4 linked regions of the Arabidopsis thaliana genome follow. The protein of the gene in region 1 interacts with the protein of each later gene in a pairwise test. Each region holds a gene or a part of one and is shown in the gene's direction. Other genes may lie near its edges. The genes, in order: AT2G21530, BMY2, MYB86 and AT4G17810.

Region 1 (3,800 bases):
AAAAGTCTTGTCTTTGATTATATAGAATTCAATATGGACTATTCTATTGTTTATGTAGGTACTCGGATACAAGTATCTAAGCAAATTGCTTGAAGTCATTGATGTCAAGTATGTGAACCTTGACCCACCCTTATTTGATCTGTTCTATCGAAAGCTGCACGTTTTTTTGTTTTTGCTTATGTTCAAAATGGTCTGCACTTTTTTATAGCGAGTTGCCTGAGTTCTTGGGAGGTGCATGTACTTGCGCAGATCAAGGCGGTTGCATGCTTTCTGACAAGGGACCTTGGAAAAACCCGGAAATTGTGAAGGTCATTTACTTAGACTAATCTCTTTTTGGATTCTATTTGTATCATCCAAGTTGGAATCTGAGACATTTGGTTTTCTTCTCATTATTTCAGATGGTGCTTCATGGAGGAGCACATCGAGCGAGGCAGGTGGTGAAAGTGTTGAACAGCGAAGGGAAAGTCATTGCTTATGCAAAACCTTCATATACATGGGTACGTAGTTATTAAATCCTATAACTAGTCAATCTTTAACTTGTGGCTGACCATATTGTGCCTAAACTCTGCTCTGTCATAAACATAGATAAAGGGAAGTGACACATCCACTGCAGAGTCAGGATCTGACGCTGAAGATATCGGTTCTCCGAAGGCTATAAAGAGTTTCTCTCATCTCCGCTTGACACCTGTTCGTGAGGAGGTAACTTTTTTCTCTTTCTTTCTATCTTCTAGTTGGGGAAGTAGTAGATGTTTATCCTGAGGCTTTGCAGGCAAAGATAGCTGGTGAAACAAGCTTGGCTGGTAGTTTTCCGGGTTATGACGAGTATGTACCTATGGTGGACAAAGCCGTTGACGCCACCTGGAAGGTGAAACCCGCCATCCAGAGAGTTGCCTCAAGAGGTTAGTTAGTTAGCTGCTATATGCTTTACGTACCAGTAGGCTCCGGTTTAGAACCAAATACTGAAGGAAAAGAATTTAACCTAATCCTTGTTTACATAGGATTTATTTTCTTATTAGGATTGTTTTGGAGTTGGTTATAAAAACAGAGTTTTTTTGGTCTTTCTTTGTTTGGTGATCTTAACTCTTATCTGTTTCCTTCAGGAGCTTTAATGTCTCCCACCGTTCCAAAAGATCATGAAGGCATCAAGGCTCGAGTCCTAGTAATGTTCATGGCATTCTTGATGGCGGTTTTCACATTCTTCCGCACTGTAACAAAGAAACTTCCAGCGACTACTACTTCTTCCCCAGCAGAAACCCAAGGAAACGCAATAGAACTTGGTTCTAACGGTGAAGGAGTTAAAGAGGAGTGTCGTCCTCCTTCTCCTGTACCAGACCTCACGGAAACTGATCTACTAAACTGTGTGACGAAGAAACTGACAGAGCTGGAAGGTAAAATCGGAACGCTCCAATCAAAGCCAAATGAGATGCCATACGAGAAAGAAGAACTGTTAAACGCAGCCGTCTGCAGAGTAGACGCACTTGAAGCAGAGCTCATAGCTACTAAAAAGGCCCTTTACGAAGCTTTGATGAGACAGGAAGAGTTACTTGCTTACATTGATCGTCAAGAAGAAGCTCAGTTCCAGAAGATGAAGAAGAAGAAGAAGAAACATCTCTTTTGCTTCTGAAGCAAAGCCAAGAAAAACCAGCACCAGGCATCAAAATCTCCCTCTTTCGTAATTCGCTGTTCTTAAGTATAAACAACAAAACAAAACAAAAACTCTTATATCTGATTTGATGTTAAAGCTAATACAGAGAGCTCTGTTTCCTTCTGTGATTATGAGCCACTTTATATTATATGTTTTATTTTTATAATCATAAAAAAATCTGTAACTGTAAACTTGTTAATGCAAAACGAAAAAAGAGTATCGAAATTATTAATCAGGATTCTGTTTTTTTTTAGGATTTTGTTTTTATCCAGATACAAGATATTGTAGCCACATATCCCATATAGTGATTATCTCTTAACGTATCTCAAAAGTTTTTGCATTTTTCTTTACTTCATATTTTGTTTTTGTAAGATCAATCAGTTTTTATGAAGAGAAAATGGAGATAACAATATCCCAATTGTGCTCTCGAGTTAAGTTTTCATCATCATCATCATCATCATCACTTTTCTGTTTCTATGGAAACAGTAATAGAAACAACCTAAATGGAGCTGTTTCAGTAAACTGCTTGAGAGAGAATGAGCAGATCAGTAATATTAGCTTCATTGCGAAGAAACCAAGAAGTCATGCACCGGTGGTGAGAACAACACGCGCCTCCTTGGATGAGAATCAATCCCCAACTTCCGGAGGAGAACGGTGGCTTCTCAAACCAGTTGGTCAGAGGCTATTTTTTTGTTTCTCTAGGTTTAATATCAATGAGCTTCTTTAATCTTTTTGAGTCTTGAAAGTCTTTTTGCCTGAAAACTTATAGGCGATGGAGACACAAGACACATTGGTTACAAAGTGGCAATGCCTGCTCCTTTTGAGATCTCCTCTGTAAGAAACTATACATTCCACTAGATTGATTGATTTTGATGAGTTTTTAGTTTTTGCTAAGATCACAAAAATGGGTATTGAGCAGGGCCAAGTTACCATCGGACGGCTACCGGAAAAGGCTGACGTCGTGATTCCTGTTGCCACCGGTATTTCTCTGTTCTTGTGGTTTTCGGTTTTCTTGAATTTGTAATCAAAGTGAATTTGGTTTTAATATGAATCAATTTGATATAGTTTTGGTTTCGGGTTTAGGTTCGGATTCGGTACTAGATTTTCGATTGTAGATGGTTTATTGCTTTAGTTTGGATCAGAATCCAACACTCCTAGTCTTTTAACCTCAGTGTCAGGAGTCCATGCGACAATCAATACGAATGAAAAGAACCTTCTTGTGACGGATATGAACAGCACCAACGGTACATTCATCGAAGACAAACGTCTAATTCCTGGTGTTGCTGCTCCTGCCTTTCCCGGAACACGAATCACCTTTGGTACACCAATCTTTTCGCATGATTTTCCATCTCTCTCTCTGTGAATGTGATGGACCGATCAATGAGGTTAAACTCTTTGTGTGACTTGCAGGAGATACAAATCTAGCAATTTTCCGTGTTTTCAAGCTCCAAGATAGTGAAGAATCCATAGAGAAACCAACTACAGAGTAACACAAAACCCGAGAATTGCTTATCTTTGCTTGCAATTAACCGGTTTTTGTTGAAATTCTAAGTTGTTTTACAACATTGTTGATTTATATATATATGAACAATAGCTTTTTATATAATATTATAACATATATATTTTTGTTTTTGGTACGTTACAAATTAGGTGTGAAAGAATTGATAAGTGGTAAACATAAGCTTTCAGATATTTCCAGAGGGACAAACAACAAAACATTTACAGAAAGAAAATTTCCCACATTTTTATCTGTAAAAACTCTTCACGAATAATATTTATGTTTATATATATAATAAATATGGATTTATATATATTTTTCCAGGTTTCTTCAAAGTCTTGAGGCATTATCAAGTCTTTCAGAATCCAAAGAACTGAAAACAAAAACAAAAAAAACATATAAATACGTAAACAAAATCAAGTACGAATAAATCTTGAAAAAGAGTGTTTTAAAATGTGTTAGTTTGTTGTTACCTTCTTCTTCTTTTTCTTCTTGTCGATATAAGCCATTATCACATGCTGCGTTGCCATGGTTTCCTCCAGCGTCTGAATTTTCAACAAAATAAAATTGATTTATAACAGGATTATGAAAATGGTCTAAATTTTAGATCAAAAGAATTAAAATAGCTTTTAACTTTTATAAATGAACAAAATAGTC
Region 2 (5,519 bases), on another chromosome or scaffold:
AGAAGATGAAGCAAGACAAGAAGAGTGAAGACCACAAAAAAGACTCTTTGATCTTCTTCTCCTTCCACCACCACTAGAAGACGACGGAGGAGGTTGAGCCACGTCAGAAGCTTCTCTCGCCATCGCCGACGAGCCTAGACATGATTTGCTCCGGCCAGATCCCATCTTCTTCTCAAAAGCAAACAACTTTCTGCTAAAATTACATCATTGACACAAGACCCACAAGTCTTTTCCCCATCTTCTTCAAATCCACCAATCGAAGAAACCTCCAAGTCAAAATCTAAAGATCGAAACTTTTTCCTCAGATCTTTACATTGAAACCCGAATTCGTCATTGACAATGCAGAATCAAAAGCCCTAATTATTGAATCCCCAGATCTGAAACTCGATCGAGATTGCAAGAATACCTCGAAATCTGAACTTTTTTTATTGCGAGAAATTAATGTAGGAACTAAGCTATGTGTGTTGTCTTTGAATCAAAGAGAAATGCTTTGAAGAAAAGGAAAGATTTTTAGGTGATCGGAGTAATCGAAGAAGGAGACAAAGCACCTATCTGCGATAGAGAGAGAGACTTTTACGGGAAGAGTGTGTCTTGATGTTCGAACGAGAGGGAACAAAAAACCAAACTCACCATTTCTTTATTTTTCTTTCTTTTCTTTTTCAAACTATTATAACATTCTTTTGTTTTCGTTCGATTTTTTAATCTTTTTTGCAATCATAATTGGACTTCATTGAGGACTATAATTGAGAAAAAAGCTTTGAAATGGTCATTGAACAGTGATCACTTAGATGAAAAATAGTTGTAACCAAACCAAACTAGAATATTCAAACTATACTCAAAACTGAAATTTTGTTGACAAAGCCTTTTGGTTTTATAAATTGCGAAGCAGAAATACAAAATCGAACCAAAATCGAACCAAAATCGAATCTATATTCTCAAAAATTAAAATATAATTGAACTACACTAACTTCAAAGAAAGAAAGAAAAAAGATATATTAAAAATAGAAAAAAAAAATGAGTTGAAAAAAGTAAATCACAATAAACTAAAATATACAAATCATTTTTTTTTATGAAGTGATTGTTTTCAGTATTTTACAATTTAGATATAGTGGCATTCTAGCTTCAGAAGATTTTTGTTGGACCGGCCCTGTAAAGTCGATTTAAAGACCAAACAAAAACTAATTTTAACATGATAAAATCGAATCAAATAAACGGAAATTCATTAACATTTTATTTATAATTATAATGTTAATTTTACTAAAACCTACCTAAAATAAAAACCTGAGTCAAAATATGTAAACTAATTTTAACATGATTTTGGTTTGATTTACTAAACCAAAATCAAATCAAAAGACAAATTATGTATTTATGTTATTCAGTTTTTCTTTTCTAAACTAATAAAACCATGAAAAAAAGGATTGGAAACAAAACCGTAAAACCCATCGTGTCATTCCTAACAAACCCATCAGTAATTCAGTATCACTTTGTCAAAACTGGTCACATTGGCTATTGTTGAACAAAAAAAAAAGAGAGGTTTTTGACCAAAAAAAAAAAAAAAAAAGGAGGGGTTAATATTGACGATTTTGATAATGAGAGACTTTTAACGTAATTTATAATAATTACCGACGTTGATTTGTAAATCCATAAAGTTACAAAAAAATCTCAAATGTGGGAACAGCACAGAAGCGAGCAACTTCACCGCACAAAAATGCATACTCTCAACAACACCATCACCACCACCACCGGTTCGCAAGATCCGAATCTCGACCCAATTCCAGACCCGGATCAATTTCCCAACCGGAACCGCAACCAACCACAATCTCGCCGCCCTCGCGGATTCGCCGCTGCAGCAGCAGCAGCGTCGATAGCTCCAACGGAAAACGATGTAAACAACGGAAACATCGCCGGAATCGGCGGTGGAGAAGGAAGCAGCGGCGGCGGAGGAGGTGGAGGAGGGAAAGGGAAGAGAGAGAGGGAGAAGGAAAAAGAGAGAACGAAGCTTAGAGAAAGACATAGACGAGCAATCACTAGTAGAATGCTCGCCGGATTAAGACAGTACGGTAATTTTCCGTTACCGGCGCGTGCTGATATGAATGACGTAATCGCTGCTTTGGCTCGTGAAGCTGGTTGGAGTGTTGAAGCCGATGGTACTACTTATCGGCAATCACAGCAACCAAATCATGTGGTTCAAACTTCGAAACTCTCTCTCTCAAAATTCAAACTTTCATATTAAGCTATTTAAGTTAGGGTTTAGTGGAAAGATGATAAATTTGATCCCAAATATGTGTGAAGCTCTTAAAGTTATAAGCTTTGTTCTGTTATTAATGTAACATAGATTGTTTAATATTATTGGATTAGGTACAGTTTCCGACGAGATCTATTGAGAGTCCACTTTCTTCTAGTACATTGAAGAACTGTGCTAAGGCTGCAATTGAATCTCAGCAGCATTCAGTTCTTAGGAACGATGAGAAACTTGCTCCTGTGTCTCTTGATTCTATTGGTATTGCCGAGAGTGATCATCCCGGGAATGGAAGGTATACTAGTGTTAGTCCTATCACCTCCGTTGGATGCTTGGAAGCCAATCAGGTGAATGATAAATTCATTTCCTTATTAGGAGAATTGACTTTAAGCTGGACGTTGTTTCATCTAACCACTTTGTTTTTCTTTCAGCTTATACAAGATGTTCATTCCGCAGAGCAATGTAATGACTTCACAGAGAGCTTTTATGTCCCTGTGTACGCCATGCTTCCAGTGAGCTTCTGATGAGAGAACTTTGTGTTTTAAGTGTATATATATGGATGTTGCCCAATAAAAAAGAGTGTACATATATTTCTTACCAGTTTTGCCGCGATCCTTAGTTTTCCTGTGCTAAAGTTCTGTACCTTGTCTTTCAGGTTGGCATTATAGACAACTTTGGCCAGTTGGTTGATCCTGAAGGTGTAAGACAAGAATTAAGTTACATGAAGTCATTAAATGTCGATGGAGTAGTAATAGATTGTTGGTGGGGAATAGTTGAAGGATGGAACCCTCAGAAATATGTATGGTCTGGCTATAGGGAGCTCTTTAACCTTATCAGAGACTTCAAACTTAAGCTACAGGTGTGAATATTTTTACTTGTAGAGCTTTGTTAAATACATCCTATGTGACCAAACTGTGACTTTCCCTATAAAGGACCGTCTTTTTCATAATATCTTAGCAATCAGTATATGGTTTGTTTGAAGGTGGTGATGGCATTTCATGAGTATGGAGGGAATGCATCTGGGAATGTGATGATTTCGTTGCCACAGTGGGTGTTGAAGATTGGGAAAGACAATCCAGACATTTTTTTCACTGATCGTGAAGGAAGAAGAAGTTTCGAGTGTTTGAATTGGAGCATTGACAAGGAACGGGTATTGCATGGACGAACTGGTATAGAGGTACTCAAAGAACACTCATTGCTCAGAAATTGTTCAGTATTTTGGTATATTATGTCTCATTTCCTCCTCTTTTGTACTGTCTAGATTCTTATTTCTTCCTTTTCAACACTTGATTATCCAGGTCTATTTTGATTTTATGAGAAGCTTCCGGTCAGAGTTTGATGACTTGTTTGTGGAAGGACTAATTACTGCGGTTGAGATTGGTCTTGGAGCTTCTGGTGAACTAAAGTACCCATCTTTCCCAGAAAGGATGGGTTGGATTTATCCCGGTATCGGTGAGTTTCAGGTATTTTTCAGATTGCTGAACTTTACTTCTACGTTCTAACTTATGACTAGTGAAGTTAACATATCAATTTACTATTTTTCCTATTGCAGTGTTATGACAAATATTCGCAATTGAGTCTGCAAAAGGAAGCAAAGTCACGAGGATTCACTTTCTGGGGTAAAGGACCAGAGAATGCTGGTCAATACAGTTCTCATCCACATGAAACTGTGTTCTTCCAAGAAAGAGGTGAATATGACAGCTATTATGGCCGCTTCTTCTTAAATTGGTACTCACAATTGCTAATTGGTCATGCTGAGAATGTTCTGTCTCTTGCAAATCTCGCATTTGAGGAGACGAAGATTATTGTCAAGGTATAATCCTTTTGGCACTTATCCTTCAAACCCAGTGATGCCTATAACAATGAGACTCATACACCAAAAACAACAATGCAGATACCGGCAATATACTGGTCATACAAGACAGCTAGTCATGCTGCTGAATTAACTGCAGGATACTACAACCCTTCAAACCGTGATGGGTACTCTCTTGTTTTCGAAACTCTGAAGAAATATTCCGTGACTGTGAAGTTTGTGTGCCCTGGGCCACAAATGTCTCCCAATGCGCATGAAGAAGCATTAGCTGATCCAGAAGGTTTAAGTTGGCAGGTAATGACACTTTTTATTGATGACTATAGCTTTTTTTACTTCTCAGCAAATGTAATCTTAACCCTAAAGTTTTGGTTATTTGTGGCAGGTGATCAACGCAGCTTGGGATAAGGGACTTCAAATCGGTGGAGAGAATGCGATTACTTGTTTCGACAGAGATGGTTGTATGAGATTAATCGATATAGCTAAACCAAGAAACCATCCAGATGGCTATCACTTCTCCTTCTTCACATATCGTCAACCTTCTCCTCTGGTTCAAGGATCTACTTGCTTTCCAGATTTGGACTACTTCATTAAACGCATGCATGGTAAGATTTACCCGCACGCTTGATTGTGCCTTCCCTTTAGATTCGTTGTCAAAATCTTTGTTCTTACAACTATATTTGTTTCTTTGCAGGCGACATAAGAGATAAACAGTTTTAGGATTTGCATGGTCTTAGGATTCTTTTAGTAAGTGTCTTTTGTTTAAAACTTCAAAATCTGTTTTGTTTTGTTTATTCTCTCCTCAAGGCCTATATTTAAGACGATTGATCTTGTAATCTTTAAACACCTTAACACTTCACTAGTTGAAGATGAACTAACTAATTAAATTCTTAAATGCATTCTAATCCGACTCGCGTAAAGTAGACACTTGTTTAGTTTTATTTTGAAAAATACAAGAAGGTATTGATGTCTAATGAATACAACCGAAAAGTGTTGCCTAACTCTTATACCTTTTTGTCTAAATTATTCTTAGAATAACCTTTTTGACTATATATGCCCGAATCCGATTACATTAATGGTATTAATAATTTTTGTTCAAAGTTACATTTTTCTTTTGTATCATTCAAATAATATTCTGATAAAATCCTGATTTTTCATGATTGTATTTGACATTTTAGATCCAACCAAATCTTTGAAGAACAAATAAAGAGGGGAAAAAAAGACCAACATGTCCTTTTGCATTCAGTGTTAATTCATGGACAATATAATGTTGGTCCGTACGAAAATTTGATTTTGTATCTAAAGAAGCATAAGAAATAGGGTTAGTTAACCACAACGAACAAAGCCTCTATTATACATATCTAAATGTGGGATAATGAGGCAAAATGTCCAATATGATTAATGAAAAAGATGGAAAAAAAGTCTTAGGTGGTGTGTGATTTAAACTGTGTTTTAATTACTTTAAATGAT
Region 3 (4,087 bases), on another chromosome or scaffold:
GCGGCGAATTCTTTTGTATTTCCCATTACAAACTATACAAAAACATCACCGTGACTATATAATTTTCTATGCACATAAAAACATTTAACTTATGCCAATATATACTTTTTAGTTTTTACAACCAATTTTAGTCCACTTTCGACTACGCAAAGATGATTTTATAAAACTTGAAAATGACAGAATTAAGAGGTTGGCATCGGCTAATTGATTGCATGTTATAAAAATATAACTGGATGACTTTCTCATTACAGTTTTTTTTATCGACGGCTAATTCGATTTTATCCACTGCATTTAGTTTCTTATAAGTTCTTTACTGCATATATATATACGTAATATATGTATATTATAATTTTTCTTTCTTCCTCTACTCGTCCTAATAATTTTGATGAAATGGTTTTGTATTTAAAAAATATACTAATTATATTTTCAGGATACAACGACATTTGGGTAGTGTAAATGCAAAATACCAAAACAAATATATACTATATGTTATACAAAAATTGTTTAAACATGTAAAAAATGATATGCATAAGACAAAATCCCATTTTAATTGAAAATATAATATATCATTCGTGACGCAGCTGACGCTATTATTAAAATTGAGGTGATGATCTATGAGATTTTTTCCTCTTACAACAAATATGTCAAAGGAGACAAGCCAGTTGTATATACAAGGGATTGAGTGTTTTTTCCGTTGTAATGATATTCTTCAATTATGCTATTGTTTGTATGATTTCTTAAGACTCGACTTAAGCTAGTAGCTTTATATAAATAAAATAGCTTTGTTGTAAACTAATCATCATGAAATTTCAAATAACAAAAAAAAACTAATCATCATGATTGTATTTTTAAAAAGGAAACTCTCTTTCCTATAATACGATAATAATGAGAACGCATCTCCTATCATAATATACGTTTCTAAACACTTATTGTTGTTCTCGTGTAGAAGCATGCTCGAAATTAATCAAAATTATCTTTGTTTTTGTTTTGTTTCACGTTAGACTAGCCTCATCGATGTAAGATTAATGAAAGATTACCCGTTACAAGTCGGTAACTAGTAACATTAGTGTGTATATAAATAAGAATATTAGTGGTTACGCGACCAAATTATTGCATAGTGGAAACATTTAAGGCTATTTTTCCACCATTACTTTGCGTACTTGAATTGAAGAACTCTTTACATTCTCAGCACATCAAGGTGTCTCCTTTGAGATCAAAAAAGTAGGAAAAATAAAACGAAAAAGTACTATAAATATTAATTTCGTTTACGAACAAAAAAGTATTAAAATTCCGTAGACATTTTTGGGGGGACAATAATTTTAGACTCGTACAATGCTTTCATGGAAATGAGTTTGTTGTTGACCGATGGCTTCCCTTTATTTTTCTTTCCACTTTTTTATTACTAATTAGGAAACTAGTAATATTTATACTCGATGTATAATTCACTAATCATATACTTTCCAAAACGTAGCAAATAATTCGACTAGAATATATTGTCCGTGAATTAAGTTTCCTCTTTTCTTTTTTTATGTTAACCATCATGTTTCTGTTATTTGTTGATTTTAATAACCATACTATTTTATACTTTTTTAAAAATAATTGAAAATAAATTCAGATTACAAGTCTACGATAATGATTCTTCTTCTTTTTCATTGTAGATAAATTTCTTAAAAGTTGACTACTTTTCTGTCAGTATATGTCACATTTTTCTATCTATCGTTCGAGAAAAAAAAAAGAAAAAAAAAAGTTTACAAGTGTTACCTCTAAAGTCTTAACCACCATTTCTTTCTATTTTGTAAAGGAATCAAATAGTTATTTACTATGTTTGAGTTCATCTCTTGAGTTTTCTGAATAAGGTGGTCCCATAAAAGGTATCAATTAATTCACCCAACGATTATAAAACAAAAGTGTTTACACCAGAATATCGCCAATCATAGTTTCTCTCATTTTATAATAATTTTCTCCATCTTCTTCCTTCCTCTTCAAGCTTATAGAACCTCCAAGAACCATAAAACTCTCTCTGCAACAATCTATACTTTCTTCATTACTTTTATAAAAAATGGGAAGACATTCTTGTTGTTTTAAGCAGAAGCTAAGAAAAGGCCTTTGGTCTCCTGAAGAAGATGAGAAACTTCTCAATTACATCACTAGACATGGTCATGGCTGTTGGAGTTCTGTCCCTAAACTCGCAGGTTTGGTCTCTATGTGCTCTTATATTATATATAGCTTAAAGAGGTTTATATAGCATCGTTTATAATGTTTTTATATGCGTTGGTGGATATATATGATCAAATAGGTTTGCAAAGATGTGGAAAGAGTTGTAGACTTAGGTGGATAAATTATTTGAGACCAGATTTAAAGAGAGGAGCTTTCTCTCAAGACGAAGAAAGCTTGATCATTGAGCTCCATGCTGCATTAGGCAACAGGTTCATTAATTTGCAACACATTTATATAGTTTTGAATTTATAATGTATATTGTGTATATATATATATATGTTAAAAAAAAAATCTTTGGTTCATATTGAATATGTAGATGGTCTCAAATCGCAACGCGGTTACCGGGAAGAACAGACAACGAGATCAAAAACTTTTGGAACTCATGTCTTAAGAAGAAGCTGAGAAGAAAAGGCATTGACCCAACAACACATAAACCCTTAATAACAAACGAGCTTCAATCTCTTAACGTCATAGATCAGAAACTGACGTCATCAGAAGTAGTAAAGTCAACGGGTTCGATAAACAACCTACATGATCAGTCAATGGTCGTCTCATCGCAACAAGGTCCATGGTGGTTCCCGGCGAATACAACTACGACTAATCAAAACTCTGCGTTTTGCTTTAGTTCAAGTAATACTACAACGGTTTCAGACCAGATCGTATCTTTAATCTCTTCAATGTCTACGTCATCATCTCCGACACCAATGACTTCAAACTTCAGTCCTGCTCCAAACAACTGGGAACAACTCAACTACTGCAACACAGTACCAAGTCAGAGCAACAGTATCTACAGTGCCTTCTTTGGTAATCAATACACAGAAGCTAGCCAAACCATGAACAATAATAATCCACTAGTAGATCAACATCATCATCATCAAGACATGAAGTCATGGGCATCAGAGATTCTTCATTACACAGAACACAACCAAAGCTCAGAAACTGTTATAGAAGCAGAAGTGAAGCCAGACATTGCCAACTACTACTGGAGATCAGCATCATCATCGTCGTCACCAAACCAAGAAGCTGCAACATTACTACACGATGCTAACGTGGAAGTGTACGGTAAAAATCTACAAAAGCTTAATAACATGGTGTTTGATCAGAGCCTTTAGATTATTAACATGTGTTATAGAGAGTTTCATTTTCTATTCATATTCATAGACCTGAGTTTATTGATTGATCCATACATTTGTTATGCTTGTGTGTAAAGTATGTATATGGTTTTTGATTTATGTAAATTTTCTGCTCGAGTGAATTTTTTTGGTGCTAAGATGTAGTTCTTTATTCCATTTCCTTACTTATGACTTTGACCTGAATTGAGTTTCATACATTTATATTTTTACTTACATCTATATTTAGTTTTACTTAGGAAAAGTTATATCACTGATCATAATATTAAAAACAAGAAGATAAAGTAAAGTAAAACATGTCTCGGTCGTGGTGGATGGTCTTTTTGTTTTAAGGAGAGGTTAATAGATCTTAAGTTGGAGTGGAGACTTCTTCGGAAAAGTGATTCCGGACAAAGAGAGATGCATGCGTGAACAATTAACCGAAAGACCCATAATCTTTTTTGTATTAAAAACAAATGCAGTGGGTCTCAAATATAATATTCCATGATACTATTTTTTTTTCTTTTGAATTACAAGTATACAGGCCGTGTTAGTATATCAAAAGGATATGAATATTTTAAAAATTAGAAATTATATAAAAGAAATTATATTCACTAGTTTAGATTATGAATTTTGTTCAAACCATGAAATTTATAGATCTTAAAAAACTATTAAGTTATAAAGTTTATATTAAATATGCATGGAAGATCATGTTTTTATGATTATTTTCAGAGAAATTAAACCTATGTCTTCCGAAATGT
Region 4 (3,730 bases), on another chromosome or scaffold:
ATTTTGTTTCACGGAAAGCAATATGACAAAGCACGTATTAATTAGTGAATAAACAATAGCCAATAGCTTGGAGACATGAAATACAATAATGAACCGAATCACACAAGACTTAGTCTATATTATTTTCTGAAACATGAAATCATCATGTTAGTTTTACAGTCAAGAAAACAATGCGTCTATAAATTTATTTCAAATCAAAATCTTATATAGTAAATGTTGACAAAAGAAAATCTTATATTACATATGATCAGGATTTTTTCTTTTCATCAAGTATCTGTTAAATAGATAAATATAGAGAAAGATGTGATGGGCGGCCAAAGGTCGTCGTCCGGGAGAAGCGGTCGTTTGATAGCTGCAAAAGGATTCTCTTTGCTCCCAAAAAGCTTCGCTGGCAAAACGTCATTGTTTGCTTCTCCCTTAATCTATCTTTCCTTTATTCTCAACTTCAATACAATAATATAGTTATATACATACAAACGTTTTGACCCAATGAGATATACAAGTACCAACATTGGTATATATGTTTAACTCGGAGATGCATATTATCGGGTTAAGCTTTTTTCAACATCGTTCGTCTAATGTTTGTGATGGATAAACTCGAAAAATTATATATGCTTATAATTAACTTATGATATTAAAATGACTGGAATTATTGAAACTTTTAACCCAATTTTAATTAGCACTTAAATTTGTACACTCATTGTCAATTAATTTTGGATTAAAATCATATAGTGTTCCTATAAACAAACATATTTTATCACTGATCATGATGAAGTTTTTTTCGCATTTTAAACAAAAATAAAATAAAAAGAGCGTTAAAAGGCCTAAATTACGTACTTGTCCAACGGCCCATTGAAAGCAAACGCAAGGATCCATAATGACCTTTATTTGGGCTGAGATTTATCATTGTACTGTAATTTGACTATTTTCCAAGGAAAATTAAGTCCCTTTTTATGTTTTTATTTATTTGAAAAACATGACAAAACAAATGCAATCCACATGGTCCAACGAAAGAGCGATCTAGTTGAAATCTAACTAAGTTCCCAACGAAACCACTGTTAATGTAACTTTACATGGCAAATATCTTTCGGATATCAAGGCCCATCACTTTCAGCTCTTCTGTTTTTCATTTTTTTCCCAAAATTTGTATTGTTTAATATTCCTAGATTTCAAATTGTAATAAAATTTTCATTTGGCATAAGAAAAAAAAATAATATCTTTTTCTACATAGAAAATAATATATATAATATGAGTTCATACACCATACATGTGTGTCTATATACATATATATAGTTTTGTAATGTATGTATATCTCGAATTGTAGCCATATGTAGGATGATTATCTAAAATATATGGTCATAATGTCACAGTGTAAAGCTACTCTAGTCATTTGTCAGATTCTAACAAGAGAATCTTAGTAATGATCACGCAAAGCTAAGATCTTTGCTTCACCATTTAAAGCAAACAAACTTTGTCTTAACCTTACATAGGACATCAAAGTCACAACCAACTTTTTCCTCTGTAAATCTTCACCTATTTATATAAAATGCACACTATTTTTTTATTTATAATTGGGCTTCCTATATTAATTAAATGCATAGCAATCTATGATTTAATGTCTTTTTGTAACAAAGTACCAACGAAGATAGAAGAACACACCTAAAAGTGTAGAGTTCTATAAAGACGTAAAGTTTATGTAAATTTCTGAAAGTAGCTAAATATATGTAAGTAATTAATAGAAAATGAGATTTCATTTTTACTTTTCTAACATATATAAGTTACTAAAATATGTTTGCACTGGATTTAATAGAAAGAAAGTATATTATATTTGCAAATTTTGAATTATACATGTGATAATCAAAATGTGTGTGCTCTTACACTCAGTAAAATTTATTATGGTAAAATTTCTTTCATTTACTGAAAATGATATTTTGAAGATAAGTGACCTATCTATGTATATATTTCGGGTCCATCTTTATATTTATTATTGAATTTACATCATTATCCACCAACCCCATCTTCTTCTTATTCTTCATCTTCTACTGAGATTTCTCTTTTTTTTTCAAAAAAAACTCATCCTTGAATGAACGGTGGTGCATGGATGTGGAACCCTAACAAAATTGAAGAATTGGAGGATGATGATGAATCTTGGGAAGTCAAAGCCTTTGAGCAAGACACTAAAGGCAACATCTCTGGTACCACTTGGCCTCCAAGATCTTACACTTGCAATTTCTGCCGCCGTGAGTTCCGTTCTGCTCAAGCCTTAGGCGGTCACATGAATGTCCACCGCCGTGACCGCGCCTCATCTAGGGCTCATCAAGGTTCCACCGTTGCGGCTGCGGCTAGAAGCGGCCACGGGGGGATGTTACTCAATTCTTGTGCTCCGCCGTTGCCTACAACGACACTTATAATACAATCCACGGCGAGTAACATTGAAGGTTTGTCCCATTTCTACCAACTGCAAAACCCTAGTGGCATTTTTGGTAATTCTGGTGACATGGTGAATCTTTATGGTACGACTTCGTTTCCTCCGAGCAACCTTCCGTTTTCAATGTTGAATTCTCCAGTAGAAGTTCCTCCTCGGCTTATTGAATATTCGACAGGAGATGATGAGAGCATTGGCTCGATGAAAGAAGCGACAGGAACATCAGTGGATGAGCTTGATCTTGAACTTCGGCTAGGGCACCATCCACCGTGACATTTCATTTTCATGACCCACTCGAGGCTTTCACATTAATATCTATTCATACACAGGTTCTTTAAATCTTAATTTACATGTTGTTGTTAAATTCTGAATTCAATTTGGCTTGAATTGTGTATCACAATTAAATTCATTCGATTTCATGCTTTGGTTCCTTGATTTCAGAGCGTAAGTTTACAAGTATATGTTTACTTAATTTGATTGGTTAGATCGAAATATATACAATGAACCCTGCATTATATGATTTGTATATACTTATATTAAATTTCATCTCAGAAATCCCATAGAACCCATATATGTATTGATTACTATTGCTTTTTATATATTCTGTCTTTATCATTACTTGGTTTAGTAATGATTTTCTTGAAAAGTAACAAGGCTCTTTGAATTCAAATTTCCGTTTGATGGAGAAAATTTACAATTAACGAACATTATCAGTAGTTTGTTTCAAATGCTCAAAACTTTCAAATTATTAAAAGCGTCTACACATTTAAAAAAAAAAAAAAAAACCATTCCTCAACAGAAGATAAGAAGCCAATATTTTTTTACATATTTCGTAGAAGGCAAATTTGTTCTTACTATTTCCATATGCTTTAGGGTTTTGGAGTATTGGAATGATGAAGAGATATGCGTTGAACTGAGTTTTAATTTATTCCATTCGTTTTATACTTCTATTACTCCATGTCATGTTAAGTAGTTTGTACATGCATTATTTTGATTTAGTTTCTGATTAAATATTTAACTATATATCTTTTTTGAACGATTTATGGATATCTTGTCATAATTAGTTTTCTAATGCTCAGGCGACTCAGAAGTATCATTCGTGACAGAGAATCTGGTTTTTCTTTTTCTAACTAAAGTTCTCTAATATATCTGATATTTAATGCCTTTTTTATCACGATGTAGGGGAGAAACTTGAATTAATCCTGGTCTTATCCCCGACTTTAGCTAAGAGATCAATTCAAAAACTTGATTGAATAAGTTCTTGTAAGTTTATGCATTTCACAAATAATATGTGATGTACGTTGC

What was found.
Region 2: the proteins of AT2G21530 (region 1) and BMY2 interact in a two-hybrid assay, tested with the Arabidopsis thaliana proteins (one large-scale study listed by BioGRID).
Region 3: the proteins of AT2G21530 (region 1) and MYB86 interact in a two-hybrid assay, tested with the Arabidopsis thaliana proteins (one large-scale study listed by BioGRID).
Region 4: the proteins of AT2G21530 (region 1) and AT4G17810 interact in a two-hybrid assay, tested with the Arabidopsis thaliana proteins (one large-scale study listed by BioGRID).

The regions. Positions count from the first base shown.
Region 1 is NC_003071.7:9,217,330-9,221,129, forward strand, and holds AT2G21530 (SMAD/FHA domain-containing protein), read left to right. Parts: upstream 1-1,922; 5' UTR 1,923-2,042; coding exon 2,043-2,319; intron 2,320-2,414; coding exon 2,415-2,479; intron 2,480-2,564; coding exon 2,565-2,625; intron 2,626-2,817; coding exon 2,818-2,964; intron 2,965-3,055; coding exon 3,056-3,135; 3' UTR 3,136-3,279; downstream 3,280-3,800. Other genes in the region: AT2G21520 (Sec14p-like phosphatidylinositol transfer family protein), read left to right, coding at 59-108, 209-308, 399-497, 586-699, 770-899, 1,101-1,624; SFH3 (SEC14-like 3), read right to left, coding at 3,502-3,516, 3,617-3,688.
Region 2 is NC_003076.8:18,351,928-18,357,446, forward strand, and holds BMY2 (beta-amylase 2), read left to right. Parts: upstream 1-1,597; 5' UTR 1,598-1,666; coding exon 1,667-2,185; intron 2,186-2,358; coding exon 2,359-2,586; intron 2,587-2,670; coding exon 2,671-2,751; intron 2,752-2,894; coding exon 2,895-3,098; intron 3,099-3,221; coding exon 3,222-3,416; intron 3,417-3,537; coding exon 3,538-3,702; intron 3,703-3,791; coding exon 3,792-4,052; intron 4,053-4,133; coding exon 4,134-4,346; intron 4,347-4,434; coding exon 4,435-4,654; intron 4,655-4,743; coding exon 4,744-4,769; 3' UTR 4,770-4,961; downstream 4,962-5,519. Other genes in the region: AT5G45290 (RING/U-box superfamily protein), read right to left, coding at 1-165.
Region 3 is NC_003076.8:9,331,017-9,335,103, reverse strand, and holds MYB86 (myb domain protein 86), read left to right. Parts: upstream 1-1,819; 5' UTR 1,820-2,059; coding exon 2,060-2,192; exon of another isoform or gene 2,193-2,256; coding exon of another isoform or gene 2,257-2,296; coding exon 2,297-2,426; intron 2,427-2,533; coding exon 2,534-3,329; 3' UTR 3,330-3,539; downstream 3,540-4,087. UniProt on the Arabidopsis thaliana protein: Probable transcription factor.
Region 4 is NC_003075.7:9,904,835-9,908,564, forward strand, and holds AT4G17810 (C2H2 and C2HC zinc fingers superfamily protein), read left to right. Parts: upstream 1-1,986; 5' UTR 1,987-2,083; coding exon 2,084-2,698; 3' UTR 2,699-3,193; downstream 3,194-3,730.